Macaca mulatta: one gene and its partners. The protein of the gene in region 3 interacts with the protein of the main gene of each other region in a pairwise test. Links are inferred from orthologs where the notes say so. Each region holds a gene or a part of one and is shown on either strand. Other genes may lie near its edges.

The links.
Region 1: the proteins of UBQLN1 (region 3) and RIC8A interact in binary tests that used the Homo sapiens proteins (3 or more experiments, as listed by UniProt). The link is inferred for Macaca mulatta from reciprocal best matches to the Homo sapiens genes UBQLN1 and RIC8A.
Region 2: the proteins of UBQLN1 (region 3) and ZG16 interact in binary tests that used the Homo sapiens proteins (3 or more experiments, as listed by UniProt). The link is inferred for Macaca mulatta from reciprocal best matches to the Homo sapiens genes UBQLN1 and ZG16.
Region 4: the proteins of UBQLN1 (region 3) and AGPAT5 interact in binary tests that used the Homo sapiens proteins (3 or more experiments, as listed by UniProt). The two-hybrid records come from large-scale screens. The link is inferred for Macaca mulatta from reciprocal best matches to the Homo sapiens genes UBQLN1 and AGPAT5.
Region 5: the proteins of UBQLN1 (region 3) and ENTREP1 interact in a two-hybrid assay, tested with the Homo sapiens proteins (2 studies listed by BioGRID and IntAct). The link is inferred for Macaca mulatta from reciprocal best matches to the Homo sapiens genes UBQLN1 and ENTREP1.
Region 6: the proteins of UBQLN1 (region 3) and TRIM32 interact in binary tests that used the Homo sapiens proteins (3 or more experiments, as listed by UniProt). The two-hybrid records come from large-scale screens. The link is inferred for Macaca mulatta from reciprocal best matches to the Homo sapiens genes UBQLN1 and TRIM32.
Region 7: the proteins of UBQLN1 (region 3) and KLHL42 interact in binary tests that used the Homo sapiens proteins (3 or more experiments, as listed by UniProt). The two-hybrid records come from large-scale screens. The link is inferred for Macaca mulatta from reciprocal best matches to the Homo sapiens genes UBQLN1 and KLHL42.

What each region holds. Positions count from the first base shown.
Region 1 is NC_133419.1:87,261-90,136, forward strand, and holds part of RIC8A (chaperone Ric-8A), read left to right. Parts: coding exon 1-43; intron 44-628; coding exon 629-779; intron 780-1,855; coding exon 1,856-1,951; intron 1,952-2,024; coding exon 2,025-2,187; intron 2,188-2,263; coding exon 2,264-2,408; intron 2,409-2,724; coding exon 2,725-2,844; intron 2,845-2,876.
Region 2 is NC_133425.1:28,820,696-28,825,342, forward strand, and holds the start of ZG16 (zymogen granule membrane protein 16), read right to left. Parts: upstream 3,056-4,647; 5' UTR 2,960-3,055; intron 2,432-2,959; exon of another isoform or gene 2,110-2,431; intron 1-2,109. Other genes in the region: C20H16orf54 (transmembrane protein C16orf54 homolog), read left to right, coding at 3,393-4,067. UniProt on the Homo sapiens protein: May play a role in protein trafficking. May act as a linker molecule between the submembranous matrix on the luminal side of zymogen granule membrane (ZGM) and aggregated secretory proteins during granule formation in the TGN.
Region 3 is NC_133420.1:114,632,627-114,637,220, forward strand, and holds the start of UBQLN1 (ubiquilin-1), read right to left. Parts: upstream 2,883-4,594; 5' UTR 2,621-2,882; coding exon 2,441-2,620; intron 1-2,440. UniProt on the Homo sapiens protein: Plays an important role in the regulation of different protein degradation mechanisms and pathways including ubiquitin-proteasome system (UPS), autophagy and endoplasmic reticulum-associated protein degradation (ERAD) pathway.
Region 4 is NC_133413.1:7,581,857-7,585,768, reverse strand, and holds part of AGPAT5 (1-acyl-sn-glycerol-3-phosphate acyltransferase epsilon), read right to left. Parts: intron 2,633-3,912; coding exon 2,407-2,632; 3' UTR 1-2,406. UniProt on the Homo sapiens protein: Converts 1-acyl-sn-glycerol-3-phosphate (lysophosphatidic acid or LPA) into 1,2-diacyl-sn-glycerol-3-phosphate (phosphatidic acid or PA) by incorporating an acyl moiety at the sn-2 position of the glycerol backbone.
Region 5 is NC_133420.1:100,369,795-100,374,142, reverse strand, and holds the start of ENTREP1 (endosomal transmembrane epsin interactor 1), read right to left. Parts: upstream 2,924-4,348; 5' UTR 2,776-2,923; coding exon 2,362-2,775; intron 1-2,361. UniProt on the Homo sapiens protein: Functions as an activator of the E3 ubiquitin protein ligase ITCH in the ubiquitination of the CXCL12-activated CXCR4 receptor. Thereby, triggers CXCR4 endocytosis and desensitization, negatively regulating the CXCL12/CXCR4 signaling pathway.
Region 6 is NC_133420.1:41,594,342-41,598,969, forward strand, and holds TRIM32 (E3 ubiquitin-protein ligase TRIM32), read right to left. Parts: upstream 3,140-4,628; 5' UTR 3,059-3,139; coding exon 1,097-3,058; 3' UTR 230-1,096; downstream 1-229. UniProt on the Homo sapiens protein: E3 ubiquitin ligase that plays a role in various biological processes including neural stem cell differentiation, innate immunity, inflammatory resonse and autophagy.
Region 7 is NC_133416.1:30,134,183-30,138,732, forward strand, and holds the start of KLHL42 (kelch-like protein 42), read left to right. Parts: upstream 1-1,417; 5' UTR 1,418-1,457; coding exon 1,458-2,329; intron 2,330-4,550. UniProt on the Homo sapiens protein: Substrate-specific adapter of a BCR (BTB-CUL3-RBX1) E3 ubiquitin-protein ligase complex required for mitotic progression and cytokinesis. The BCR(KLHL42) E3 ubiquitin ligase complex mediates the ubiquitination and subsequent degradation of KATNA1.

The DNA of each region.
Region 1 (2,876 bases), on a different chromosome or scaffold from region 3:
TGATGATTGCTACTGCTGGAGACCGCACAGAGGAGTTCCATGGGTGAGGATGGGGCTTTTTCTGGGAGGGAAGTGTGTCCACATGTTTAGATGGTCATCCTCAGCCCTGGCCGTGAACCAGAACCACCTGAGAGCCCAGGCCCCACCCTAGAGGGTCTGACTTTGTCTGGGTGAGTGAGACTGGACATCGGTGTGTTTCCAGAGAATACTGGGTGCTTCTAATATGTGGCCAGGACAACAGCCATGAATTTGGGGGCAGGAATGTGCCACCTGGGCCTTGGGTAGTGGCAACAGACAGTGTGGTATTTACTAGGGCACATTGGCTCCTTGTCCCCATTCTTGGTCCACCTGCCCCTTGGCTGGTGTGGTTTCCAGAGATGGTCTGGCACTTTGGCCCAGACAGGGTAGGGGAGGCAGGGTGTCTCAGCCCCCACTTCCCCAGGGGACCCCACTGTACAGCTGAGTGGCAGTGCCTCTCAGATCAGTCCCTGCCCTTGGCTTTGGTCCCCAGTGCCGCCCCTTTGGGCCTCAGACGCCAGCTCATGTAATGTGTGGTTCAGTGGGGGCACAAAGATTGCATCTGTGCTGAGGGATTAGCCCTATTGAGACCCCCACCTCCATCTGTCAGCCACGCAGTGAACCTCCTGGGGAACTTGCCTCTCAAGTGTCTGGATGTTCTCCTCACCCTGGAGCCACACGAAGACTCCGTGGAGTTCATGGGAGTGAATATGGATGTGATTCGTGCCCTCCTCATCTTCCTAGAGAAGCGTTTGCACCAGGTAGGCTGGGGATGGCTGTACAGGCTCCCCCAGTGGCTCTGGCACTGGTTCTCCTGCACAGCTGTGGTCAGTGCTTCTCCACTGGCCACATTGGTAAGTGGAAATCATCTTGGTGGTGTGATACAGGTGATTCTTCCGGCTGTTCTGTGGTCCAGCCTGGCAACAAGCTAGACCCTTCCTTCATGAGAAGCATGTGGACACCTTCCACACACTTGAAGGTTTCACTTCTTAAATCTTTGTGGATCTTTATTGAGTGGTCCTGAGAAGCCCCCAAGTCCCTGCTTTTAACTCTCAGACACAGGCAGCCCTTGACTACAAGCATAGCTGTCCCTCAACATCCTGAGGAGACCCATAGGAACCTCAGATCAAAGCTTCCCTCTGATTCCTGTGACTGCACTACAGGGCATCTGGATAGCTAGGGCTCTAACCATCCTCCAGGAGCTTGCAGAAAGCAGGCTGGAGCACAATAAACCGAGATTTAGGAGACCTCTCGGGAATCTACCTGCCTAAGCAGGGGACACACATGGTGCGTGAGAGCCAGTCAGGGTAGGGAGCTGGCACTGGACATACAGCCGGGGGGTTGTCTGTGCCTGTCGCTGTCGCTGCCACTGCTGGTGCTGGGGTCCAGGCACATTATGCTAGGAGGGTCAGGAACTCCCTGCTCTCTGTCCATGAAGTACCCAGAGTGGGGATTCGGTTCTCGTTTCTTTTTGCCACCAACATCTGAGGGCAATGTGTGTGCCAGTCTAAAGCTTTAATTGCTTTGTGTTTTCTTCCCAGCCCTGGTTTATAGTTGAGGTAATTAGACTTAAAGCAGTTATTTCTCCCAAGTCACCAAGCTTACAACAAGTACCTCTGAGTGAAGCTCTGTGCCCGTCCTTTTCAAAAGTGACACAGACACCCACCACCCACTCTTGGCCTTCTGCTGACTAACTGCAGAGGGGCCTCTTCCCAAACCTGTGCCACCAGGACCAGCTGCTGTGTATGTTGGTGGGAAGGGGCGGTGGGGGGTGTAACTCTGCGCCAGTCTCAAATTAGGCAGGAGCACAGCCACGGTGACAGAGGCTCCTCTACAGACACACAGGCTGAAGGAGAGCGTAGCTCCCGTGCTGAGCGTGCTGACCGAATGTGCCCGGATGCACCGCCCAGCCAGGAAGTTCCTGAAGGCCCAGGTATGAGACTGAGGAGCTGGCACTCCTGGGGGATGTGGTTTCGGCCCTGATCACAGACCAAGCCCAAGCTTAGGGACGGCCACCTCCCCAGGTGCTGCCCCCTCTGCGGGATGTGAGGACACGGCCTGAGGTTGGGGAGATGCTGCGAAACAAGCTTGTCCGCCTCATGACACACCTGGACACAGATGTGAAGAGAGTGGCCGCCGAGTTCTTGTTTGTCCTGTGCTCTGAGAGTGGTGAGTTATGGAGATCCGGGTCCCAGCGCCCCCACCTCAGCCAGGCTTGCACACTGACCTCTGCCTTGCCCCCCAGTGCCCCGATTCATCAAGTACACAGGCTATGGGAATGCTGCTGGCCTTCTGGCTGCCAGGGGCCTCATGGCGGGAGGCCGGCCTGAGGGCCAGTACTCGGAGGATGAGGACACAGACACAGACGAGTACAAGGAAGCCAAGGCCAGGTGTGTGCCCCCAACACCCCCTCGGGTCTCCACTCAAAGCCCCTAGTCCCTGCTTCGACATCCATGTGGACCACTGTAGGGTGGGACAGGATGACCAGTGGGCAAGACCTTCCAGAATCAAGCACCTGTCCCTAAGTGCTATCTGGGATACCAGAAGGTGGCAGGTGGCAGTTGCTGGTTACCAGTGCCGCTTCTGGAGGGAGGCCTCTTCCTGCAGTTGCCTTGCCCACCTCGCCCCACTGGGAAAAGAGGTGGCTTGCCTCCTGTCCTGGAGAGTCACTAATGCATTCCCCACATTCCACCTGCTGGGAAACAGCATAAACCCGGTGACCGGGAGGGTGGAGGAGAAGCCGCCTAACCCTATGGAGGGCATGACGGAGGAGCAGAAGGAGCACGAGGCCATGAAGCTGGTGACCATGTTTGACAAGCTCTCCAGGTGTGTGGCATGATGAGGAGGGGCCTGTAGCT
Region 2 (4,647 bases), on a different chromosome or scaffold from region 3:
TCAGTCTCCTGAGTAGCTGGGACTACAGGCGCCCACCAACATGCCTGGCTAATTTTTTGTATTTTTAGTAGAGACGGGGTTTCACTGTGTTAGCCAGGACGGTCTCGATCTCCTGACCTTGTGATCCGCCCGCCTTGGCCTCCCAAAGTGCTGGGATTACAGGCGTGAGCCACTGCCAACTTGGTGCGTGGGCGGGGAGCCAGTGAGCTGGGAATGCTGACTGGTCAGAGATGAAATCATGGAGAGTTGGAGCTGTCTTCTTGCAGAGTCAGTTCTGGGTGGGGGCCACAAGACCAGATGAGCCAGTTTATTGATCTGGGCGGTGCCAGCTGATCCATCAAGTGCAGGGTCTGCAAAATATCTCAAGCACTGATCTTAGGAGCAGTAGGGACGGTCAGAATCTTTTAGCCTGCAGCTGCATGACTCCTAAACCATAATTTCTAATCCAATGGCTAATGTTAGTCTAGTCCCCAGGCAAGAAGGAGGTCTGCTTTGGGAAAGGGCTGTTACTGTCTTTGTTTAAACTATAAACTACAAACTAAGTTTCTCCCAAAGTTAGTTCAGCCTACGCCCAGGAATAAACAAAGACAGCTTGGAGGTTAGAAGCAAGATGGTGTCGGTTAAGCTAGATCTCTTTCACAGTCTCAGTCCTAATTTTGCAAAGGTGGTTTCCCCGAACTCTCCATCTCCACCTCCTCCCACCAGGGCTCAAAATCACCAGGACGGGGCAGTCTGACTGATAATGTCTTTTCATTCATTTATTTTATTTATTTTGAGATGGAGTCTCGCTCTGTTGCCCAGGCTGGAGTGGAATGGCACGATCTCGGCTCACTGCACCAGGTTCAGGCGATTCTCTTGCCTCAGCCTCCTGAGTAGCTGGGATTACAGGCACGTGCCATCACGCCTGACTAATTTTTGTATTTTTAGTAGAGACAGGGTTTTGCCATGTTGGCCAGGCTGGTCTCAAACTCTTGACCTCAGGTGATCTGCCCACCAAAGTGCTGGGATTACAGGTATGAGCCACCTCGCCCAGCCCAGGGATTTCTAACTATTCTTCCACCACCCCGGCCACCACATGCTGACCCACACATACATTGGTCATGCCACTTTGGTCATGTCATCTGCTTTCTTTAGGCCTTAACTTTGTCATCTGTGGATAAGTGAGTCAAACTAGAGAATCTCAGAAAGTCTCCTGGACTCCAAAGCCTGATGACATCTCGTCACACTCTGTTCTAGACTCCTCCCACCCTCAGCCCCAGGAAAGAGGGACAGACATGAGGCTAGTCAGTGTTTTGGAAACAAGCCCACGCCTGTTTTTATACCCTGGACTCCTCCCAGAGGCCTGACATTTTTGTTACCCAAGCCTCACCTCACTGATATTTTCCAACCAGAATGGGGGCTAAATGGTCTGAAGAGAGAGAGACTTATGTTAATTAAAAGTATGAGGCAGGAGCCAGTGTGGTAGCTCACACCTATAATCGCAGCACTTTGGGAGACGGAGGCAGGAGGATATCTTGAGGCCAGGAGCTTGAGACCAGCTTGGGCAACATAGCGGGAGCCCATCCCTATCAAAAAAATAAAAAATAAAAAAAAAAGTGTGAAGCAAGTTGGTCAAGCAGGGGGTGCCTGTGGGGGCTGGATGGCAGGAGCAGATCTGGGGAGGCACCGTGGATAGGACAAGGCAGGATGGGGTGGGGCATCCTCCCAGGAGGAGCAGGGGGAGGCACCATGGTTCTCTAGGAATGTACGGGCTAGATTACTTGTGTCCTATTTCTTTTTCTTTCTTTTTAAGATGGAGTCTCGCTCTGTCAACCAGGCTGGAGTGTGGTGGCATGATCTCAGCTCACTGCAACCTCTGAGTCCCAGGTTCAAGTGATTCTCCCTGCCTCAGCCTCCCGAGCAGCTGGGATTACAGGTGCCCATCACCACATCCAGCTAATTTTTGTATTTTTCAGTAGAGATGGGGTTTCACCATGTTGGCAGGCTAGTCTCGAACTCCTGACCTCAGGTCACCTGCCCACCTTGACCTCTCAAAATGCTGGGATTACAGGGGTGAGCCACTGTGCCTAGCCCCTGCGTCCTCTTTCTCGGCTTCTGGGTGAATGTTCTGGGGCCCAGGGCCTGGCTATGGGGTGACACTAAGTTCAACAGAGCCATTGCCCATTCCAGCCCCACCTTACCCCAGGAAAAGCCTCCTCACCGCAGTGACCACATCCCCTTGGGTTGCTTTGGAAACAAACACTCCCCGGGGGCAGGCGAGTTGGGGCACAGTTGCCCAGCAACAGGCAGTGCCCTCCCTTCCGCCTTCATCCGAGGCCCGGCCTCTATGTCTGAAAGGCGGACTGCCCTGCACCTTCCGAGCCTGCATCTCTTAGTCCGGCACCAGGAAGAGTGGCTCTAGGAGGGAGAGGCGCCCAGGGACTGACCCAAGGTGAGTTGAGGGGTGCAGGAGGCCCCTGCAGATGGAGGATGTGGGGGACAGAGAGAGGTGTGCAGAGACGAACGAGAGAGAGACAGGCCAGAGCCTGGGCAAAGCTGGGGAACCTGGGAGGGGTGCAGAGGCGCCTCCGGAGGCCTGGCCTGGCCCGGCAGCAGATTCCGCGATTCCACGGAGTCTATGAGAACAAGATCAAGTCCAAGGAGACTGGTGAGGGGCGAAGGAGCCCCAAGGGGCCAGCAGAGGTGGCCGGCGGGAGGCGGTAGGGGAGACACACACAGGGGAGCCGGTCGGAGGGGAGGTTCTCATTTCTTCACCCACCACTTCCTCTCTAGGCCTAAGCAAGACTTGAGGGGGCCCAGTGGGGAGGAAAGAGGCCCTCAAGACCTTTCTGGTCTGAGGCACCCTGGGGTCCGGGAGGGAAATGGGGCTTCTGGAAAGGCCTGGAGAGCTGGGCAAGAGGGCCTGGCTGTGCGCATAGGTAGGCAGCCTGTCCTCCCGCCCCACCTGGCTCACGCTTACCCTTTCTGGTCCCCCTTGCTCCTCTGTCTCTCCAGAATGTTCTTTTTCTTTTTTGAGAAAGGGTCTTGCTCTGTCACCCAGGCTGGAGGACAGTGGTGCAATCTGGGCTCACTGCAGCCTCGAACTCCTGGGCTCAAGTAATCCTCCCACCTCAGCTTCCTGTGTAGCTGGGACTACAGGTGTGAGCCACCATGCCCAGCTAGTTTTTAAATTATTTATAGCGATGAGGTTTCACTGTGTGTCCAGGCTGGTCTTGAACTCCTGGGCTCAAGCGATCATCCTGCCTTGGCCTCTCAAAGTGCTAGGATTCCAGGCATGAGCCCCCGAGCCCAGCCCCTCTCCCAGGCTTTCCTGGACACCTGCTGCCTCTCTCTCATCTTTGTTGTGCCCCCTCTGCCTCATTTACTTCCTCTTCTTGCCCCATGTCTTCCAGATGCCGTCAACTCCAGAGCCGCCCTCTGGGCGCATGGAAGGGCCCCCCACGTGGGAGGCAGCCCCATGGCCCTCACTGCCCTGTGGGCCCTGCATCCCCATCATGCTGGCCCTGGCCACCCTGGCTGCGCTCTTCATCCTCACCACCGCTGTGTTGGCTGAGCGCCTGTTCCGCCGGGCTCTCCGCCCAGACCCCAGCCACCATGCACCCACCCTGGTGTGGCGCCCAGGAGGAGAGCTGTGGATTGAGCCCATGGGCACCCCCCGAGAGCGCTCTGAGGACTGGTACGGCTCTGCGGTCCCCCTGCTGACAGACCGGGCCCCTGAGCCTCCCACTCCAGTGGGCGTCTTGGAGGCCCAAGCAACTGCCCCATATGCCCCCTCAGCCCCAAATTCTGCTCCCAGCTCCTTGGGCCCCCAGACTTCACCGGAGGTCCCAGCCCGGAGCACCTTCTGGGGGCCCCAGCCCTGGGAGGGGAGGCCCCCCGGCACGGGCCTGGTGAGCTGGGCTGAACCCGAGCAGAGGCCAGAGGCCAGAGCCCAGTTTGGGAGCCCCCAGGCCAGGAGGCAGCGGCCACGGAGCCCGGATCCCGAGTGGGGCCTCCAGCCACGGGTCACTTTGGAGCAGATCTCAGCTTTCTGGAGGCGTGAAGGCCGGACCAGTGTGGGGTTCTGAATTCCCAGGGTTCCCCAGAGACCCCTGAGGAAGGCCCTGCCTCAGTGGGACCAGGGACCCCAGCGTCCAGCATTAGGACTGAGACTGCCCCAGGGAAGATGCCCCTCCCAGGCCCCTTCCACCAGAGTCCCCCTCCCCAGGTCGGGGTGGTGGCCAGGCTGTGTGGACTAGGGGAAGCCGAGCAGTGCCTCTGCTCAGCTGCCTCGGCTGTGGTTCAGAGACCTGGGGGTGGAGCCAACACCAGGCCAGAAGCCTTCAAGATCGCATCAAGATAAAGAACCCAAGGTACCAGATAGGCAGGAAAAGGCATCGACCACCACCTCCACCTTCCCTCAGTATTTACCGAAGCCACCAATACCAAAGAGAAAGGGTCCCGCGGTGCTGAACAGCCTCGGTGTGGCGATGACAGCTGGCAGGAGATGACAGGAATCCAGTTTCCCAGAGGCACAAATCCTGTTCTCCTTGGCCACTCACCCACTGTGAGGTCCTCTAGGAAAATACACAAAGAGAGGACCAGACCAGGCAGAGGAGCATTTTGTTTCAAATGAACTGCGGCTTTGACCCCCAAAATGCAAGGAGG
Region 3 (4,594 bases):
AATAGCTAAAATTAAAGAGACTGACAAGATCAAAATGTTAGCAGGGATATGGAGCAACAGGAACTCCCATATATCTTCGTTGGTGGGATGGTAAAATGACACAAGCTTTTTTTTTGTATATGTGCTGCTGAAGCCAGCACTACACAAGCTTTTTTTTTTTTTTTTTTTTTTTTTGAGATGGAGTTTCGCTTTTGTTGCCCAGGTTGGATGGCAATGGTGCCATCTCGGCTCACTGTAACCTCCCTCTCCCAGGTTCAAGCAATGATTCTCCTGCCTCAGCCTCCCGAGTAGCTGGGATTACAGGTGCCTGCGGCCATGCCCAGTTAATTTTTGTATTTTTAGTAGAGACGGGGTTTCACCACGTTGGCTAGGCTAGTCTCGAACCTCAGGCGATCCACCCGCCTCAGCCTCCCAAAGGGCTGGGATTACAAGTGTGAGCCACCACGCCGGGCCCACAAGCATTTTTTAAAACATAATTTCTCACAAAACTAAAACATACAATTGCCCTATGACCTACTCAAACCAAGTCTTAAGTATATAACCATGAAAGAAAAAAGAGTCCACAAAAACACTTGTATAAGACTGTTCACAGTAACTAACTGGAAACAGCTCAGGTGACTTTCAACAGTGAATAGATTATGGTATATACATACAGTGGAAAACTACACACCAATAAAAAGAAAGGAACTACTAATACATGCAACAAAGACGAAACTCAAAAACATTATGCTGAGTGGGAAAAAAAAGGCTTACCCAGAAAAATACAAACAGTACTATAGACTATATGGGATCCCACTTAATGTTAAATTCTAAAACAGGCAACTCTGTAACTTATGGCATTTAAAAAAAAAAAAAAAAGGTGGGTAGTTGATGGAAAGGCCGAGTGACTGAAATGACTTGGGAAAAGGTAAGAAAGAACTCTCTAGTCAATTACAATGTTCTATATCTTGATAAGAGCTTGGGCTACACAGGTGTAAGCATTTGTGAAAACTCATGGAATGGCATGCATTTCACTGCATGTCAAAATTACGTCAAAAAACGTAAAAAACGAGGCTGAACTTAGGCAAATATCAGTTCACAATGCTGAAGTGACATGTACTGGTGTCATCTACTGACACGTGCAATTTACTCTGAATTGCTCCCCAAAAATAAAATGGACTTGATAATCGATTATAATACTGTAAAATGCTAATTGTAGATGATGGACATATGTGTGTCCACTGCCCAGTTCTTTCAACTTTCTGTATGCTTGAAAATACAAAAACGGTAAGGAACATTTTTACAGGCAGTAGGAGACCAAAAAAAAAAAAAAAAAAAGAGTGATAAATTCCGTTGATGGTAAAAGTTTCTCTCATTCGATGTTACACACCTCACTGCCTCACAAAACACACTACCTTTGGAACTCGCTAAACCAATATCCCAATCCCCTACAGTCCCTGGGGACTCTGATAGGTACATTTCAGGAATTGTTGATTGTTTCCTGTCACAAACTGTTCACGTTGTGTGCGATCTTCAGAGATTAAGTCAATAATCATGGAAAATACGACGTATTCAACAATACACTAAAATTATTTGTTAAATTCCACCAAGGATCTTAATTAACTGCAAGATTTGTATTCCTGAACGAAGTTTAAGTAATATTCTCCATTAACTCCAATTTTCTTTTATTTGGCTGCAACAGCTAATATCAACATCGCTATCGCCTCTCTAAAATCAAACAAAAACCTACCCAATGACTGGCATCTAAGAGATGATAAACATACTAAAAGGGAAAGAGCAAGTCATCAATGAAAGAAAGTCATTCACTTTTCTCCTTAAACCTAGTACTATTACTATTACTTAAGATGGAGCTAAAATCGGTTTCTACGTCATAATTTTTTTAAAAAGGTTGCAAGGTGGGAAAGATTTCAGGAGTTAAAATGCAGAACTAAATATACACGTGCACCTCACCCCAAAACCTATCTTAACAAGCAGGCACGTAAAACAACGAGGATCCCACCCAACCCCTTTTTTAATTCATAAAGCAAAACCGCAGCCTGAGCTAAAGCGAACCCTCGCCCCCGCCCAGCCTCCACCCCGCCCGGAGCCTAGCGGTGGGTCCCTTTCCTTTGTGAGGAATTGGAGGGGAGGCGACGGAGGGCGGGGAACTGGGGGAGGAGGCTGAGGGTCGGCGGATGCCAGGGAAAGAAGGCTCCGAGAAAAGCGGCATCGGCCCGTCCCACAAACAGGCCGCGCCGCCACGCCACAAACCACTGCGGTGTCCCAAAGCGCAAACCCACTAACTTGGGTGTGATCTAATTTGGGACGACGCCCGGGAGAATGGCCGAGGGCACCTGGGAGGATGACCCCTCTCCCAGGTCCTTCCCAAAAGGTCTCTTGGCGCGGCGGGCGGAGGTCCTGCCGCCACCCCCATCCCGGCCCGAGCACCAGGCGACCTCACCTGCTGGACGGAGCTATTCTCGGGCACGGCGAATTCCTCCTTTTCCTTCGGTGTCTTCACGGTGACTTTCATGATTTTGGGCTCCGCGGAGGCAGCGGCCGCGGGGACGCCAGCACCTTCGGCTCCGGCAGCGCTATCCTGGGAGCCCGGAGGACCGCCGCTTTCACCACTCTCGGCCATGGCTGCAGCGGCGGCGGCGGTGACTCAGGCAAGCAGGAGTGAGCAGGCGAGCAAGGAGGAGCCAGCAGACACCAAAGCCGACAGGCCTGGACAGCGAAGAATGCAGAGCACGCCGCCTCACTAGCAACGGGCGCAGGGCCACCCTAGCGGGTGTGGGGCCTCGGAGCTCGGTGCAGGCTCTGGCGCAGGCCCGGGTCAGGCGCTCGGCAGTCGCCGTGTGTTCAGGCGCCGCTCGCTCACATCGACATCCGCAGCAGCCACCGCTTCCTCCTCCCTGCCCCTTCCCCCACGTCCCTTCGCCGGCGCCGCGCGGAGCACGCCGGGTAACGCGCCTGGCGGCGTCGCCGAGTCATCCCTGGCTGGCGCCGCTTTGAGCTCAGCCTACGTGCCTTTTCCTTTCCCGCTCCATTGCCCAAAGTGTAGGCGAAGCCAGTGTGAAGGACTAAAAGCAAAATGGGGCGGGGCAGCTCAGTTCATGGTTTTTTTCCGTTCCCTTCACCAAAAACTAAATTGCAGTTTCCAGTTAAGCGCTGTAACGGCGCACCGAGATGACGTCAAGGTTAGCGAAATTACTAGAAAGGGACCAGTGGGCCCTGCGACCGCGGATGCGCCTGCGCGCTCGCGGTCCAGGTAATCTCCCCACCTTACTTCATTCCCGGCTGGGCAATGCTCAGCCCTCCGCGCTGTCACAGTCGCCTTGCCCTGCCTTGCCTCTCTGCCTACTCTGCGTTCCCCGCTGGGAGGAGGGTCTGGTGATAAAATAGCGGCGAGGTATTTTGTTGTTATTTTAATATGCTTAGCGTTTCATATTTGGAGGGCTGGTATTGCCCTATGCGGGGGAGTTGGGATAAGTTAATGGCGGAAAGGTCCACAGCACAACAAACAGAAAATGGAGTAAACGCCTGTGACTGCCCTGCGCAATCCCGCGGAGTCATTGCTTCGTGGCCAGAACTTATTTACCGCCCTCGGGTTAGCCCTGTTTGGTCAGACGATCAATCAGGCGACCTGTATTGACAGTGGCCTCTGCTGCTGCGATGACAGCTGTGCGCGAGCGCCCCCCGATTCTCTGTGAACTCGATTTCCTACAGTGTGTAGGGCGGAACAGGGTGCCCGAGGAGTGTCCACCCAACTGGGACAATGTAATATAGCTGAGGTGTTCACTTTCTATTCTATCAAGTTACTGCTCAATGTCAGGCTTTAAGTGGCATTAAAGATAGTTCCAAAATTATTTTCAGTGTAATACAGATAGAAATAAATTATCTCTGAGAATCCGAATTTGAAATTATATCATTTGGTTTTAAAGATGACTTGCAAGGAAAGTACAAACCAGCACATTAACTATATTAATCAGTGTTGCACAATTTAAATCCTGACAGCCCATGGTGACCCAAATCCGCAAAGATACATTTTGCATTTCTGCTCCTAAGCCGTCCAACCCTGTTCTCAGAATAAATACTGTTACATAAACACGACTTTTTAGCAGAGCTATATGGAATCTGGGTCTAAGAGAATTCTGAGGGTATCGATTTCAGGATAGACATCATTTGATATCACCTAAATTTCTGGCAGCGTGGCTCAAATAACAAGGCCTTCTGCTTAATGAAGGATGACTACTTGGTTATGTCTAGGTGTGAGGTAATCACTGCTTCTCAAGATAGAAAGTGCCACAACTGGACAATCAATCATTTGGAATTTCTTCCATATGTCTAAATAAAATTTCTCCTCAACTTCATCAGCTCCTCATTACCTGTTTTTCCCTGTCATGCTGTGTCTTACCTGCACGCTTTGCCTAAGCTGCCTTCCTCTACCTAGAATGACTTTCTCCTTGCCTTCACCTGTCTAACTTCTATGCATCCTATATCACATGCTCCAGGAAGACTTGACGGTTTTTCTCTTGATTCTCCAGCAAATACCGTGTGTGTGTGTGTGTGTGTGTGTGTGTGTGTGTGTGTCTCCATGCATTTATGGACTTTG
Region 4 (3,912 bases), on a different chromosome or scaffold from region 3:
ATTATTTTAGTGTATTTTTAAAAACTTTGCTCAAAGCTTAGGGAAAAGTATTGTGAAGAATGCAGGGCCAGTCATTAAGCCTATTTTATGTACTAGGAGACTGTTGGTGAATTTTAGGATCAAAAAATGTTAAACAGCACAGCCATTAGAGATAGTGAAAGATTTTATTTTTTTTTTACTTTCATCCAAACACACCCTTTCCTGAAAAACATAAAAGCATGCACATCGATGGCATTCTTATAAAGAAAAATTAATAACTAAGCTGTAAATCAATAATAATACAAACGAAAGTTTAAATGATATGTGAAAAGATTTACAGGTAGGTATACGGCTCTTAATTTTAGAAAATAATTCAAGTCAGAATTAATACAGGTTAAGGAGAAGCTTCTAATTTTCCAAACATTTTGATACAAAAATTTTTTCAACTACTATATTTTATAGACCGTTTGTGAGATTAGTATAGTTCTATGAAACATAACATTCAAGTGATCTTATGCAGGTCAGACTGCCTTGTTAAAATGAGTTAGAATCCACATAATTCCAATAGTATTGCCCCTCAAAGTTCAAATTTAGAACATATCCATTATATTCAAAATATGTTAAATCCCTGTACTTAACAAAGACATGGAATCGATCTAAATTTTACTTTACAGGTAAGAGAAAATTAGAATTTGGCATGAGGAAACTTTTCTTAAGTTTTACCCATGCCCCACTGATGATTAGGCCAACTGTATCCTGAGTGTGCATGGATGTGTGCATCCATTCTAAACCAATTCACATCACACGACTCTTCAAAGACGATGCTTGAAACAGTTTATTCTCTGGCCTGGGAGAAGCAGTGTAACACAGTCACTTGATTCTCCCTTAATCATTATTTCTTTCATTTTGCTTATCATGATCCAATTCGTATGTTTCATGTGGGCCATTGATATATTTTTGCAACAAAAATCCAGTAGCAGTAAGCAGAAATGTTAACTTAAAGGACTAGGAGGAAATCAAAGTTTAAATTATAACACAAAAATAGAACAGTTCACACCGAAAGGTCTTCTCCCATGGGATATATTGTTCCATGGCTGAAAATTGTGATTTGGTTCCTGGAACAAAGCTCTTGCTCTAAGGTGATACATATTAATGTGTAGCTCTACTAAACCTAATGGGAAATAAACAAATTCGTTCAGTCCTGATGAATTAATTCTGTATTTCACTGGCTTGAGAAGGTGAATTTCTTGACACAGACAAATGCAAAATGCCCCTGCAGTAGCTGGTGAAGCCCACTCACAAGGGCTTAAAGAGGTCAGCTCTGAAAGTGGGCAGCCCAGGCTGGCTCTGCATTTCTTCCCAGCAAGTCTGCGTGCAAGCCGCTGAGCGGCACCGCTGACGGGATCCAAAGGAAAAGGGCCAGAGCCCAGTGGGAATCCACCACATCACAGAAACGTGACTTCTGAACATCCTGTTCCATCAAAGAGAAGAAGGCAAAGGCACATGCTAGTAAATCTAGGCAGAATGTCTGCAGGCTCTCGTCACCTTAAAAATCTTGTGAACTTGGGGTCCAACCAAGGTGCACACTGACTATTTGGATATTAAAAAAAAAACAAAACAGAAAACCTTAATGTTTTCAAGCACTTATGGCACAGACATAGGGGAGTACTAATAGCATAAATATTCAAAAAGCTGGGAAATTTAAAGTTCTGCTATAATGAATCAGAATCACAATTTTAAGCTTCTTTCTCATATTTTATACCATTTTTTGTGTGTACAGGGTGTGCAAATTAAGCAATTTCAATAAATATTAGAAATTTATTTTGCAAATACAAAATGAGTAAAATCAGCTAATAACGCAATACAATAAAATCATGTGCTAAACAGAGCTTTCTCCCCATGAACACTTTTTACCCTTTCCTTTGAACATCCTGACACTTCTTAAATACAATTTATTTCACTGACTTGTAGAAATAAGCACAAGATGAAATATTAGCTAGCTGCAAGATACTAAATACTTTAGTAATAAGACCTTAGAGCTGTCAGGTTGTAATAAACTGAAAATAACAGAGAAAGTGAAATATGCTGCAAATTAATGCTCAAAAATGCAGCCATCTGACTTACAAAATACACAATCCTCCCAGCCTTCTCAAGTTGTCATTAGTTCATGGGAAATGGACAGAGTAGGAGAAACTCCATTTAGCTTTTACCCTTCCAGCAGCCCCGGTGCTAAAGTTGTATTAACCAGGTATGTCTGCCCAAGACCATTGCATATCAGCTTTCGTCACAAATTCTATTTTATCCAATCTTCAACCAACAAGGCTTTATTTACACTCCTTATTAAATTCAGGAAACAATTTGATGTCATGTGCAGCCGCCAAAAATAGACAATGTAGCACATCCCATTGTCTGGAGACAGCTATTTGTTTATGCTTTAATAGTAACCCACAGGCAGCCAAGTAGGGTTCCATATATCCAGGTGTTCACATACAGCTTCCTTCCAGCATCGGTCATAAGCATGCCTGCAGTCAAACCACTTAAGATCAACATTGATGGTAAAGTCTTCTTGATACTTAATTTGGAATTAACACTTTTCCCAGGAAATCTTTTTCTTCTTTCTGGATCTGGTGACTCATAAAATTCTATAAGCATCCTATGGCCAGAATGAAAAAGGTTTGGATTTTAGTCACTTCAGTATTTCAATTCAAAAAATATCAATTAGGTAGCTATTACATGCTGGAAAAGTTATGCAGGTCCTTGGAAAATAAGGATGAATAAGGAAACATCCAGAAATTTGGATTAATAGAAGTTTCTAGTCTTTTAAAATATCTTTAATATGCTCTATGACTAGTATACATGAATTATATATGTAATATTTCAACAGGTGGTTTTAAGCCATTTTATGAGAATGTTTTTTGTCTTTTAAACTTTTGATCTATAAAGTTTTACAGTGACCTGACTCACAAATGGCTAATAACCCGCTGCAGCTTCTCCTCCTTTTTATGTGGAGCTCCTATTCCACCAGAAGTCAAAGATAGGACCAGCGGTTCTTAGACAGCGGTCCCTCTGTATCCACAGGAGGCTGGTCCCAGGATACCCAGCACAGACCAAGATCAAAGGATGCTCAAGTCCCAGATATATGAATAAAATGGCATGTATTTGAATATAACATATACACATCCTCCCAAATCCTTTTTTTTTTGAGACAGGGCCTTACTCTGTTGCCAGGCTGGAGTGTGGGGCAACGATAGCTCACTGCATTCTCAACCTTCCAGGCTCAGGAGATCCTCGCACCTCGGCCTCCTGAGTAGCTGGGACTACAGGTGCACACCTGGCTAATTTTTGTATTTTCTGTAGAGACAGCGTTTTGCCATGTTGCCCAGGCTGTTTTGAACTTCTGGGCTCAAGCAATTTGCCCGCATTAGCCTCCCAAAGTGCTGGGATTACAGGCATGAGCCACCACAGTCAGCCCCCTTTTTTTCTGAGTGTTTTTGATCTGTGCTTGGTTGAATCCACGAATATGGAATCCATGGATATGGACTGCTCACTGCACCTGGTCTGTCCCAAAAACACCTTTATTCCCATGGAATTAGAAAGGCAGGTGAAAGAAGGAAAACAGCATAGTAATTCATTTTACCATCTTACATAAGATTTGTAAAGTTATAATAGCAGAACATACCCAACATAATAATCTAAAACACAAAAATACTGAAAGGAAAAGCACCTCTATTGCTTTATAAATCACACACCGTAGCGATAATCATTGTTTTAAAATGTCCAGACTCATTCTAAATATTTATAAATACTTATAAAATAAGTAGCACGTTAAATACATTTGTCTTTTTTCTGAGAACACATTTTCATGTCAATACATGCAGATCTTACTTTTAAATTTCTTCCATGGCCAAAGTGGTCCTGAATGGCTGGCTTAAT
Region 5 (4,348 bases), about 14 Mb from region 3:
CCAGACTTGGAGACAAGGACATACCCAGCCAGCAGACCAGGAGTATTTATCTATTTATTTTATTTTATTTTATTTTATTTTATTTATTTATTTATTTATTTTTTTTTTTTTTTTTGAGACGGAGTCTGGCTCTGTCGCCCAGGCTGCAGTGCAGCAGCGCGATCTCGGCTCACTGCAAGCTCCGCCTCCCGGGTTCACGCCTTTCTCCTGCCTCAGCCTCCCGAGTAGCTGGGACTCCAGGTGCCCGCCACCGCGCCCGGCTAATTTTTTGTATTTTTAGTAGAGACAGGGTTTCACCGTGTTAGCCAGGATGGTCTCGATATCCTGACCTCGTGATCCGCCCGCCTCGGCCCCCCAAAGTGCTGGGATTCCAGGCATGAGCCACCGCGCCCGGCCCAGACCAGGAGTATTAACCTTCACCTTCTGGTTGAAGGCCTTTTTTCTTTTCTTTTCTTCTTTTTTTTTTTTTTTTTTTTTTGGTACTTCATCAAATTCAACTGTGGCTTGACTGATATCTAAGTGCATTTACCTCTGAAATGATTCACAATAGTAAATGATATCAGCTTTTAATTTTATAAGACAAAAAATAGTTTTTAATAATTCTAAACTAGCTATGTTTGAGAAGACAATAGATCACGATTTTATGAAGAGCAAATTCCTAAAAATATATGCAAGATTATTACTGGCCCATAGTATTTAGAGAAACGAAATGCACCCACTCTTTGGCTGGATTTAGTCAGACAAGTAGAATAGGTAGCATAACAGGTCTAATTCCTACCCCATCTGGAATATCCATCCTTCTGGAGTTTTCCTGAACACTCATGGAGGCCAGCTGCAGAGCCCACAGGCAGGGCCACTAGGGTGGCATTTTTTCTACATGAGGCACAAATCGTGGTCTTCCCTCACCACAGCACAGCATGTACCCCAATAAGATCATTCAACATGAAAGTATTTCAAAAGGAAAGCAAATTGGCACTGGATGAAGTATACAATTTCAGGCGAGTCTCAAGGAACCTAATGTTCTTATTTAAACAATTACTTTGGGTTCAACTAGTTCTTCGAGTCCTTTTTTTCAGTTTGGTCTTGAATTGCCGTATGTGTGAAACTGCAAAAGCAGTTCTTACCATTCAGGACATACACTGATTACAGATCTTACTAAAAACTAGCAGCATTGCTAGACTTTCAGATTTACACAGTGAGTTCATAGAAAGGTTATTTACGGCCGGCTGTGGTGGTTCATGCCTCTAATCCCCACATTTTGGGAGGCCAAGGCAGGAGAATCACTTGAGCTCAGGAGTTGGAAGCCAGCCTGGGCAACATGGGGAAACTCCGTCCCTTAAAAATAAAAAATAAAAATTAAAAATTAAAAAAAAAAGATATAAAGGAAGGTTATTTACTTTACTCATCTTCCATAGTCATCCCACAAAGATGTGTTTCCAAGTCTCTCAACACCCAGAGAACTTCAGGGGGTTACATGCCTTGGACATTGTGCGATTGTTAGGAGGTAGAGGGGAGTGACCACCCGGTGTCCGTAGATACTGGCTGGCAGCAGCTTTTCTCTGAAGTTGGGCACTCTTTGGCCCCAGGCTCAGCGTTCCCGGTTGGAGGAGTGGGTCCTGGAGAGCAGACATCTCTAGCTAGCTGCTGCGTGCTCCAGGACCTTTGGCCAGCTCGTCCCTAATGACAGGTCCCGGTTCTCACAAACTGAATTCTGCACAGCAGCCTGCATGGCTCCAGGAACCAAGTGGGGTTAAGGCCCTCCTTTAATGACCAGGTACAAGCGCCAGTTCACACACACCCTCTCATTACCTCCTGAACTCGTCTGGGGGTCGAGCCACCCTACACATTTCACATTTATGTGTGTCTTAATGGAGAATAAAACAAGCGATGTGTCCGAAACTGTCCCATCCCACAAATACTCCTACTATGTGCCAGGCATTCTTGATACATCGGTGAACAAAAATGATCAAAATCCCTGCCCTCCCAGCACAGACGTTGTCAGTGCAGCAAATATTCAACGACCAAAAGAAGTTTAATCACTTTCCTCCCACTTTCCTGCCACCCACACCCTGTCCTTCCAATCTCCCAAAGAGCTGGGTGTCTTTGCTTAATTCTATTAGCTTAACTGGGACAATAAAATCCTTCAGCCTGCGCGCAACAGACACTACCCAGGTGCAGCCCAATTCACCCCTGAACTCGACCGTCGCGGAACATTTTTCTCCAGGCTCCAAAAACTTCAGATGGCGTTAAGGCTCCCCCAACTGCAGCCCTGGAGGCCAACTAAGGGACAATGAAAGGGTACGACCAGAGCCCCCTATCCACGGGATGACCGGGCTAGCGGGGCGCGCGCGCGGTACTCACCGAGGAGCCGGCCCAGAACGGGCACGAGTTCTTCACCTGCGGAGAGCTGCTCAGCGACAGCGCCCCGAAGCTGAGCGCCACCATGCAGCAGCCCAGGATCAGCTGCAGCAGCCCGAGTGACAGCAGCGGGCGGGCGGGCAACAGCGCAGAGCCCGGGGCCGCGGCGGCAGCGGCGGCGGCTGCCCGGCGGGAGGAGAGCGCCGGCGGCGCGGCCAGAACCCCGGCGGCAGCGGTGGCCGCGCAGCGAGGCCGCGACGGGGGCTGCAGCGCGCCCCGGGGCCAGCGCGGCCGCAGCGGGGGCAGCGGCGGCTCCTGGGCGGCGGCGGCGGCGGCGCCCGGGCCCCCGGTCTGCGGCCCACCCGAAAGCCCAGCCACGGGGCAGCAGGAGCCCGGGAGCACCACCGGCAGGGACATGGACGGACCGTGAAGGGTGCGGCCGGCGGTGGCGGGGAGGGGACGCTGAGCGGAGCCGAAGGCGCCGCACACTGGGCACCGCGGGCGGGCTCCGAGGCCGAGGGGGAGGGAAGGAAATGCGCACGGCCCAACCACTTGCTGCCGCCGCTGCCGCCGCCGCCGCTGCCCTGGCTCCAGCCGGCCGCACCCACCTGCCGCCTGGCGGGTCCGCCTCCCGCTGGCCCCGGGCGCAACCTCACTCTCACCCACGCGCACCCAGTGCTCGCGCTGCGCTGGGGCAAGTGCGCCACAGCCTCGGGGTCCCCGCCAAATCTGCGCCGGCTTCCTGGGGTCCTGGCAGGGTGCCCTGCCCCAAATATTTAAATAAGTCCCTCGAGCTGGGAGGCACCCTACGGCCAGGACGCGTCAGCGCCGGCCACCGACAGTCTCAGCGTCTGTCCCCACCCGCCGAGCTGGGGCTAGAGAAGAGCGAGGAAAGCGCCGTGGACCCTCGGACCCGTTTACAGTCCAGCCACTAAAGAGGCCCCGGCGCGCTTTAATGAGAAGGGAGCCCGCCCTTAAACTTTTGCCCCCACAAGGAGGGGGATGGCTGGAGGAGGGGCTTTGGGGCGACTCGATGGGAAGAGGCGTAAGCCAAGGACTTCGGGAAGGACGACGCCGAGCGCAGTTACGGCTCGCAGGGCGCAGGACCTGCCTACCCCGCATCAGCCCGGGAATGCTTTCCCGGCATCTCGGTAGGAGCGGGAATGAAAGGACTGGGTTACCTTGGAAGCATCCAGCATCCGTACAGAAAGTACCCGGGGCAGCCCGGAGCGCATGGCAAGGATTACGCTCTATCCTCCTCTTATTGACTCATGAGCGGTATCAGGCATCTATTAGGCATCACCTGGTAGAACACGGAACCCCCAAACTTCCGAGGAAATATCCTAATAAAATCCTAAACTATTTTGGTAATATATGAAAAATCTTTAGAGAAAAAAAAAAAGATGATTCCTCTTTGCAAAATGAATTCCCTTAGTAATATCTTTTCACCTTGGAAGAATTCTAATGCGTAGAAAGTTTCGTACCTAAAATGATTATAATAGACTTTTTTTCCTGATAAGAACCACAGCAGTGTTCTTGGCAGTTAGTCAGTTCCAGTATTAGAAAACTTGTCTTATCCTAAGGTATTTAACATCCTCCCACCCAATATACCAAGAAAAGTGTGTGTCAGTTTTTATACTCTGTTTGTGGAAGCTGTATTTATATTGGTCGTTACACTTTAATCCACAATGTGATATACTGTCAATGTGCCCAAGTTTACATATACACTTCTTAAATTATTAAAGCACATGTCATTAATGGTGCCTAGGACTTCCTTTACAGACTGCTCCCATGAATAAATTCAAATTCTGGAGGAAAAGGGAGATGTCTTTCAAAATAAGGGTTTAAAGTCTGTTGATTCATTTTTAAAATGCCATATAGTATATGCTCTTAAATTGCTGCTGATGTTAAATGAAAAGCTTCTTTGGGCCGAAGTTATACTCTATTTTATATACAAGCTTAACAGTATTTAATTTTTAACCATGTATTA
Region 6 (4,628 bases), about 73 Mb from region 3:
CTTATCATCTCCAAAATTCCATATTTAATTAAAAGACATGAACACCAGTGATGAAGAAACAGTTCTCAATTATTTAATGCTTGATAGAGAAATGGAAAGAAATCCTGAAACCAAATAGTATGTACTCACTTGAGGAAAATACAGAATAACAAACCAACAGTTTTGCTGTTTGTTTTAGTAATGAACATGAAAATGTGTCCACCTCTCCATTTTGTTGGCCCTGGCCTATGCTGTACAATTCCTTAGACACAGGCCAGAAGAGAGAGGTAGTATGAAAAACGATGAGCCCTAGAGACTATCCAAGTTTGCTGACTATATCAGCATTTGTTTGCTTATTCCTAGCTTCCTATGCTTTGGCATAATTCCAATCCATATTATGCTTCTTTAAAAGGCAAGCAATTTCCAGGCTGAAGTCGTCAATACCAACCAACTAGGGTCAATCCATTCTGTCACATCTGCAGTTCTCAATCCAAGATGGCACAGATCCTCCAGGCGAGAGGTACTGCTTCCTAAAGGGCCTGTGTATCCCCTTTGGTAGCACTAAATGAATGAGCTTTCACACTGGTAAAGACGATCAGACTGAGACATAATGTTACAGGAATATGTCTGAAATGTCACTGAAAGGTGGAGCATATCCCACTGAAGCATGCACAGTGAATCCAATCAGAGTTGAAGAGAAAGTGTCACAGATGAAGCACATTGTAATAGGAAGGAAACAATGGATCAAGGGCATCAGAGCCAAACGGGAAAAAATCAAGGATTTAATACAAGGGCACATTTCAAACATGGCACAAAGGGCTAAAGTGGCTCTCTCTACTAAAGCCTTGGAAGTGCCTAATTGCTAATCAAACTTCAGCTAACACCATTGCGTGTCCTATTTGGGCAGTGCATCTTTTAAAGCTCTAAATTTAGGTGGGAAGTGGGGAGGGGAAAATAACAAATAAAAAACATAAAAAGATGGAGCTTCTAAAGTTCTAGAACTACCCAGCTGGAATCAGGACATATGCCGAGTCTATTCTCTATGTGCCACTAACAACCAAGAACTATGGGAAGGGAAGCTGGCTTGGGAGCAGAAGAAAATGATATTTCTCATCCCCTATGGGGTGGAGTATCTTCTCAGATGGTAGCTGTAGATCTTGATGCAATGATCCCAACAGTCCAAGACCAGCAGCTGCCCCTTAGGAGTGAGGGCTATGCCCACCGGACAAGTAAGTCCCTCTCGAATAAGGACACTATAGCCCCCACCCTTAGGAAAATGGAGAATTTCCTTGCGACTACTGTCAGCCACAATGAGATCACCACGAGCATCCACACACATGCCAGCAATGCAGCGGAAATCCTCATTCTCCGAGAAGAAGTGGCTAATCTGGCGACCCAGCTGCCCATCGGGACCTACAGAACCAATGGAAAAGCCACCTTCCAGGTGGTGCTCATTCTGTCGATTCTCCAGATTGAGGCCTAAGCCCTGGGTGAAGTAGACGGTGCCCTCAGCATCACAGGTGACAAATTTGGGCCGCACAGCACTGCACAGGCAGCTGTATTTGACCACCCCTGATCCTCGATCAACTGTGAAACACCAAAGCTTTCCACCTTCCACATCAGTTACTACAAACTGGCCAGATGGCAGGGCTGTGATACCCCATGGTTTGCTCAGCTGGCTCCTGTGACAGGCCACACAGTGGCCATCCAAGGTATATACCTTGAGGGAGTTATCATAGCTGTCAGTCACACCAATCAGCCCCTGGCAGTTCATTGCCACTGAGAGAGGAGTGAGGTTGGGTAGATCCGCCCCAAGAAAGCTTAGCACAAAGCTATCAATGCCACTGGGGCTGCGGCGGATTTCCTTCAAAAAGCCTTTGCGGGTAAAGACTTGTATACGATAGTTACCACGGTCAGCAACTAGCACTTCACCTTGACTGGTCACGTAGAGACTGACTGGTAGATTGAACATTCCTGGAGTGCTGCCTTTGGCCCCCATCTTCTTGAGAAAGAGGCACTGCTGGATATTGGAGGCTGCCTCAGGACCCCGCTGTTTAGCAGGTGAGGCCCTAGGGCTGGCAACCACTTCCTCCGGGCTCATGTCCATCTCTCTAAATGTAACAGAGGTAGAAGCAGCAGAGGCTGCCGCCTCCATGGCCCAGGAATCTTCCATGTTAACTGTCCGGGGCTTCTTAACAGCTTGCCCAATTTGGAGGGGGCCAACATGACCTACCTTAAGGAGCTCCACATCTTGCAGGGTGAGCTCCCGAGGTAAGCTGGCAGTAAGCTCTGGCTCCTCCTCATCAGCTGTCTCCTCCAGGAGTGCTACATCTGCTTGCTTGATCTTGGCCAGGAAGTAGTCACAGCGAGACACAGCCTGCACCTCTGCAATGTTAAGAAGGTAACTCTGCTCCTCTACCACTTGACTATTGGACTTCTCAACTTCAGCCAAAGAGCCTGTGAAGAATTTCCGAGAGCGAGCCAGCTCATCCTGGACCCTGCGTTCCTCGTGTCCATACTCCTGGAGAACTGCTTTATACCTTGCCTGAAGGTCCTTGGAGACACCTTCCAAGGCTACCTTCCGCCGCTGCAGCTCCCCCATAAGTTCCCGCAGACGAGTCAACTTCTCTCCAAAGTCCCGACGCCGCTCCTCAGCGGCTTCTTTGACAGGGAGTGTACAGTGGCCAGGAGGCTGATGGTCTGCCTCCCGGCAGGGCTCACATAACACCAAACCACAGCTCCGGCAGAACTGCCGGGGCAGACGCCGCCCACAGGACCGACACATGAGCAGCCCCACAGCCTCGCTGAGCCCAGCTGTATCAATGATCTTTAGCACTGTCAGATTGTCTGTCAGCTGGGTCAAGCTGGTTATGCGGGTAATCTTGCTGCAAAAGGGACAGCGGACACCATTGATGCTACTGGCCAATAGCTTCTCCAGGCACTGGCGGCAGATGGTATGGCCACAGTGCAGGAGCTTGGGACGCAGCTGCTCTTCTGTGAAGGACTCCATGCAGATGGGGCATTCTAGCACTTCCCGGAGGGCATCCAGGTTCAGGTGAGAAGCTGCTGCTGCAGCCATTGCTATTCCTTTGAAGGGTACTGCTAGCACAGCTCAGAACTGAACAGCACAGTATTCATGCCCTAGAGGGTAAAATTCCTGCTAAAGAGAAAAAGAAACCATTATTCATTTTCCTCTGATTATATAAATCAATTCACTCAAGAAACATTTAGAGAATAGCTATGATCAGTCGTTCAGTCATTCACTTACTTAACTATTTTATTGAGGTCTATTATGTGTCATGTGAGGGTGACAGGGAAACAAACAAGACAAAACACTGCATAGAGGGTAATAATTCAGATTCTGGAATCTCAGACACTTACTTAGTTGCATGACCATAAGGAAGTAACTCAAACTTCCAAAAGCTCTTTCCCCATCACTCATCTGTAAAATAGAAAAATGGTGTCTACCTTATTCTATTATTGTAGAACAATCTATTATTGTAGAATAATGGTTATTGTAAGGGCTAAATAACAAGATAAATATGATGTGCTTAGTATATAGCACCAGGGAAGTAGTATACTTTAATAAATGCTAATGATTACTTTCATATTTGGTGAGTTTTACAACTTACAGTTTACACTAACAGAAAAGCACAGGAGAATTACGCACAGTAAAAGGAGTAAGTGTGACATGCAGGTCCACATAATGTTCTGCTGGAGTACAGTGGATGGAATGATAGATTCCACCTAACAGACTTGGGGAAGGCTTCCCAAAAGCAGTTTCACTCCTAAGATAAAGAAATGAAGGACTGAGGGATAAAGGTACTTTAAGCAAAGAAAACCATGTAAGCAAAAGTGTGGAGGCTGTTTTTTTTTTTTTCATCATGTCATAGAGTTTACTGTGTCATGTTTGGGGCCCTAGGAATCATCCACAGACTTAGAAAATTGTGATGATTAGCTTTAGGTAATCTGCAAAACATTAGATCAGAAAATACACATTTTCCATGCATCTATCCTCCTACCTACTCATCTATCCACCCATCTAAGTTTAGGTATCTTGTTCTGTACTAGATACAAGAGGTCTTCAGGATACAGATCCTGCTCTTCAGATATTCAAACTTTATAAAAGACAAGACATGTAGGCAAATAATAATGAAGGCAGAAAGTAGTACTATAAATGAAATAAAAACTAAGTTTGATGGGGGTTGAGGAGTCATTCTAATTTGAAGGGACACAGAATTTTCAAAAGGAAGATGACATTTTATATTGGCCTGGAAAGAAGCATAAACACACGGAGAGGGAAGAAAGGAGGCGGCAAAAGGCACAACCTTAACAAAGTTTAAAAGGCAAAGGAAAGGACAAGAAGTTTCATGTATTAGGAAGAAAACAGAGAATATTTAAAATCTATGCATTTTATTTTCTCCATCTTTAAAATAATAATTTTTAAAATAATAAAGACAGTGGAAATAATACTGTCTTTACAGAGTTAATGTAAGAATTAAATAATCTATAGAGTATATAGAATGCTAAGATTTGGCTCTGCACAAAAAAAGCCTTAAATGAATTTTAGTTCTCTTTTTTATTATCCTTAGATTAAAACAGTGGGAGTATATATGGGGAATAGAGTAACAGGCTTGGAAAGGTAAATT
Region 7 (4,550 bases), on a different chromosome or scaffold from region 3:
TCTTTTCCGAGACGGAGTCTCGCTTTGTCACCCAGGCTGGAGTGCAGTGGCGCGATCTCGGCTCCCTGCAACCTCCGCCTCCTGGGTTCCAGCAATTCTCCTGCCTCAGCCTCCGGAATAGCTGGGATTACAGGCGCGTGCCACCACACCCGGCTAATTTTTGTATTTTTAGTAAAGACGGGGTTTCACCATGTTGGCCAGGCTGGTCTCGAACTCCTGACCTCGTGATCTACCCACCCTGGCCTCCCCCAGTGCTGGGATTACAGGCGTGAGCCATCGCGCTCAGCCAAACTGAACGTGTGATCTCTCTTAATAGTCCTCAGATGATGGGGGCAGGGTAGGTGGAGAAACGGGGTGACAAGAAAAGCTACCTCTTGCAGACATCTATGAGCTGATTTTGTCAGATCTTTTGCGACAGTATAACATTCCGTAATGGCTAGTCCAAGCAGACTGAAGTAGACAAGCAATGGCTCATAGAAAACATGGTTTAAAACCAGAAGCCACGTGATGTAACTTTATTTAGTCGAACTGCGCTTTCATCTTTCTTTTAATAACTTAGGGAGAACAACGGGCCCCAGTGGCAAATGCAAGGTCCCCTGCCTCCCAACCCGATTCCTCTGAGAACCTGCTGCCATCTGCCTGGACCTCCTGTAAGATGGCTCCTACGCGACGACCCTACCAGAGAATCAGCTCTACGTGCCACCAACATTGCCACCAACATGTCCACAGATTGCCTGCTTGCCTCAGCCCACTGACACTCGATGCCGGACTGGGCCAGAAGGACGATCCTAGATTTGATGCCTTTTTGTCTCCCTGGACCAGAGACTGCCTCCTCTTTCCTCCCACGTTCATTTCTTTTTCTTTAGCCCGTGTAAAGCAGCGTGGGAGAGAAAACTAATTTCTTCTCCCTGGGGTACCCCGGAGCATCGCTGCAGCCCCTGGCAGGCGGCGGAGCCGCGCGCCCCGGGCGTGCCGAGAGGCTGCGGGGACGCGCGCCCTCCGCCTCCCGCAGCTGCGCGTCCGCAGCCGGGGCGCCCAGGCCCGCAGCCTCCCGGGCCTCCCCGAGGGCCGGATCCAGCCTGCAGGTCAGGCCGGCGGCCGGGGTCCCGCGGGCGGAAGTGAGAAGGGCGGCCGGGGAGAAGGCTGCGGGCTGGGGGCTGGGATTCCCTTCCCGCCTGGCGCCGCCTGGGAGAGCCCGCGCGAGGACGCCCGGCGCGCTCCGCCGGCCCTTTTTTGGCGCTGAGGAAAAGGAGAAGGGCAGAGCCGCCGCCTCGCGGGAGCGGGCCCCGGGAGGAGGGGCCGCTGGAGAGGCCGGGCGAGCGCGGGCGGCCCTCACCTCGCCGCTCCTCCCGGGCCGCCATCCCTCGGCGCCCCGCCCGGAACCGGCGCGCGCGTGGGGGCGGGGAGGCCGGCGCGCAGATCTGGCGGTGAGCGCCGCCGCCCCGGGGCCCCCAGCCATGTCGGCCGAGGAGATGGTGCAGATCCGCCTGGAGGATCGCTGCTACCCGGTGAGCAAGAGGAAGCTCATCGAGCAAAGCGACTACTTCCGCGCCCTCTACCGCTCCGGCATGCGCGAGGCCCTGAGCCAGGAGGCCGGCGGCCCGGAGGTGCAGCAGCTGCGCGGCCTCAGCGCGCCGGGCCTGAGGCTGGTGCTGGACTTCATCAACGCCGGCGGGGCCCGCGAAGGCTGGCTCCTGGGCCCGCGCGGGGAGAAGGGCGGCGGGGTGGACGAGGATGAGGAGATGGATGAGGTGAGCCTGCTGTCCGAGCTGGTGGAGGCGGCCTCCTTCCTGCAGGTCACGTCTCTGCTGCAGCTGCTGCTGTCCCAGGTGCGGCTCAACAACTGCCTGGAGATGTACCGCCTGGCGCAGGTGTACGGGCTGCCCGACCTGCAGGAGGCCTGCCTGCGCTTCATGGTCGTCCACTTCCACGAGGTGCTGTGCAAGCCCCAGTTCCACCTCCTGGGGTCTCCTCCCCAAGCTCCGGGGGATGTCAGCCTGAAGCAGAGGCTGAGGGAGGCCCGGATGACTGGGACTCCTGTCCTCGTGGCCCTCGGGGACTTCCTGGGGGGACCCCTGGCCCCTCACCCCTACCAGGGGGAGCCCCCGTCCATGCTCAGGTACGAAGAGATGACTGAGCGTTGGTTCCCGCTGGCCAACAACCTTCCTCCCGACCTGGTCAATGTCAGGGGCTATGGGTCTGCCATCCTGGACAACTACCTCTTCATAGTGGGCGGGTACAGGATCACTAGCCAGGAGATCTCTGCTGCGCATTCCTACAACCCCAGCACCAACGAGTGGCTCCAGGTGGCCTCCATGAACCAGAAGAGGTAAGCACCCCGGCAGAGTGCTGCTGCCTTCTCATTCATTCACTTGTTCATTAGTTCATGGGCCCGGTGTTTACTGAGCCAGTAAATAGGGGAGGGTGTGCTGAGGTGGAAATGACATCTTCAGGAATGTTGTTGGCCTTGGTGCTGGCAAAGTTCCCAGTGAACTAAGAAATTGCGAAGAGGAACTCCCCAGTGAGGTCAAGTAGTGGAGTGGTTTTTTGGCAGGTATTGTGCCTTTAGGTGAATCTGCTTTCTTTGTCTCTGTTCTTGTGAAAAAAGATGTCGTGATTTCCTATAAGAATACTTTAAAAGAAAATTGCTCCTTAATTTTTAAAAAAATTTTTCTTAGTTTTTAGGATTCGATCCTGATGGTAATGACACACTGGACAGTAACCTGTGACACTGACTTTGGGGGATTTTTTTCTGTTGTCAGTGACTGTGACAACAGAGAGTCTTTCACACTGTGACACCCATCATGACCAAGAGATAATCACTGGAAATGTATTAACATTTGCAATAGGGGTTGCTTTTCTTATTTTTTATCTTCTCTTTTGCTTCCTTCCCTGGACAGCCATCGTCATGACCCAAAGCTTGAGCCTGGAAGTGTTCAACTATAGAATTGGAATATTTTCATTTACCCAACCTTCTCCCCCTCCCATCCTGCAAATCCCTCCTGCCTCCAATATGGGTGACTTGAAGAAAGGAAGAGGAGGAGCTTGAGGAGTGGGATGAGAGGGGAGAAGGGAAACGAACCAGGGAAGGAATATGAAAACAAGAGCAAAGAGCATATACAGGAAGAGATGGTAGGAAATAAAGACGGTAGCGCCGAGGAGGCCTCAGAGTCATTCAGAAGCAGGGAAGAGAATCAATGTAACTCAAGAAAGAATGAAAATACCCTTTCTTCCCATCCACGTGTTTCCATCTCAATCCTCACAGGGTCCTGGTCCTGAAGTGTGGAGCAAGGAATTGGGGAACTCACAGCTAGGCGAAGGAAGTCTTAACAGTAACAGAGAATCCTTTATATATCTATCTATTTGACTCGAGGGTCCTCCTTGGCCAGGGATTATTTGGGGAAATAACTGGCTTTATTTCTCCTATAATATGGAATTCATTTTGAAAAGTATGCTTTTTTCCCTGATAATACATGGTTACAGAAAACTAGAAAATGGAAAAGAATGAAGAAGCAAAAAGATGATTATTACCACTCGTTCTTCCTAGAGGCAGTAACTGCAGGTTGGCATATTTCCTGCCAGCCCATTTTTAATGCATTATTTGCACCATTGAGATGATACCATATTTAAAATTTGGTATCAGAAGTGTTATTTTAAAACATTCTATGCGCTGTAATTGAAACAACAAAGAAACATTGTGTGGCTATGGGTGGTGGTCTGATTAGGGGTGGGCGGCCCTGAGTTCTCTGTCTCCTCTTGCATGCCTCCAGCTACACATCATTTGACGCTCACCAGGCCATCCTTAGTACCGCAGTTCCTCACAGTTCTTTCTTCCCTTCATACATCCTTGGTAGTCTTTGTCTTTTTTCTAGGAAGGCCCTTTTCATCCCCTGAAAAAAAAAAAAAGCATTCAAGTAATGCATGAATGCATGCTTCTTAGAAAAACTGCAAATTACACAAAAATACAGAGTAAGAAGAGGAAATGTCTGCCCTCAGGGTACAGAAAAAAAGTGTCAGTGTATCGACAGACTTTTGTTACCTTTAGATATTATAAATGTATAAACATTTATATTTGTAAATTACATGTATACTTATATAAATACACTTAACCCTTAAGTAATGTGGGGGCTAGGGACACCGACCCCTGCACAGTCAAAAATCCCCATATAACTTTTGACTCTCCCAAAAACTTAACTACTAAATAGCTTACTGTTTACCAGGCGCCTTACCAATAATATAATCAATTAAAACATTTTGTATATGTATTATATACTTTATTCTAACAATAAAGTATGCTATAGAAAAGAAAATGTTATTAAGAAACTAAGGAAGAGAAAATTAAGCGGAAGTGGATCATCCTTAATCGTCTTGACACTGAGTAGGCTGAGGAGGTAGAGGAAGTATTGGTTTTGCTGTCTTGGGTGGCAGAGGCAGAAGAAAAATCTGAATATAAGTGGACCCTCGCAGTTCAAACCCGTGTTATTAAAGGGTCAGCTGTATAAGTATGTTGATAGTGGTTAACAATAGGGGAAAAGTGTTTATGTATATTA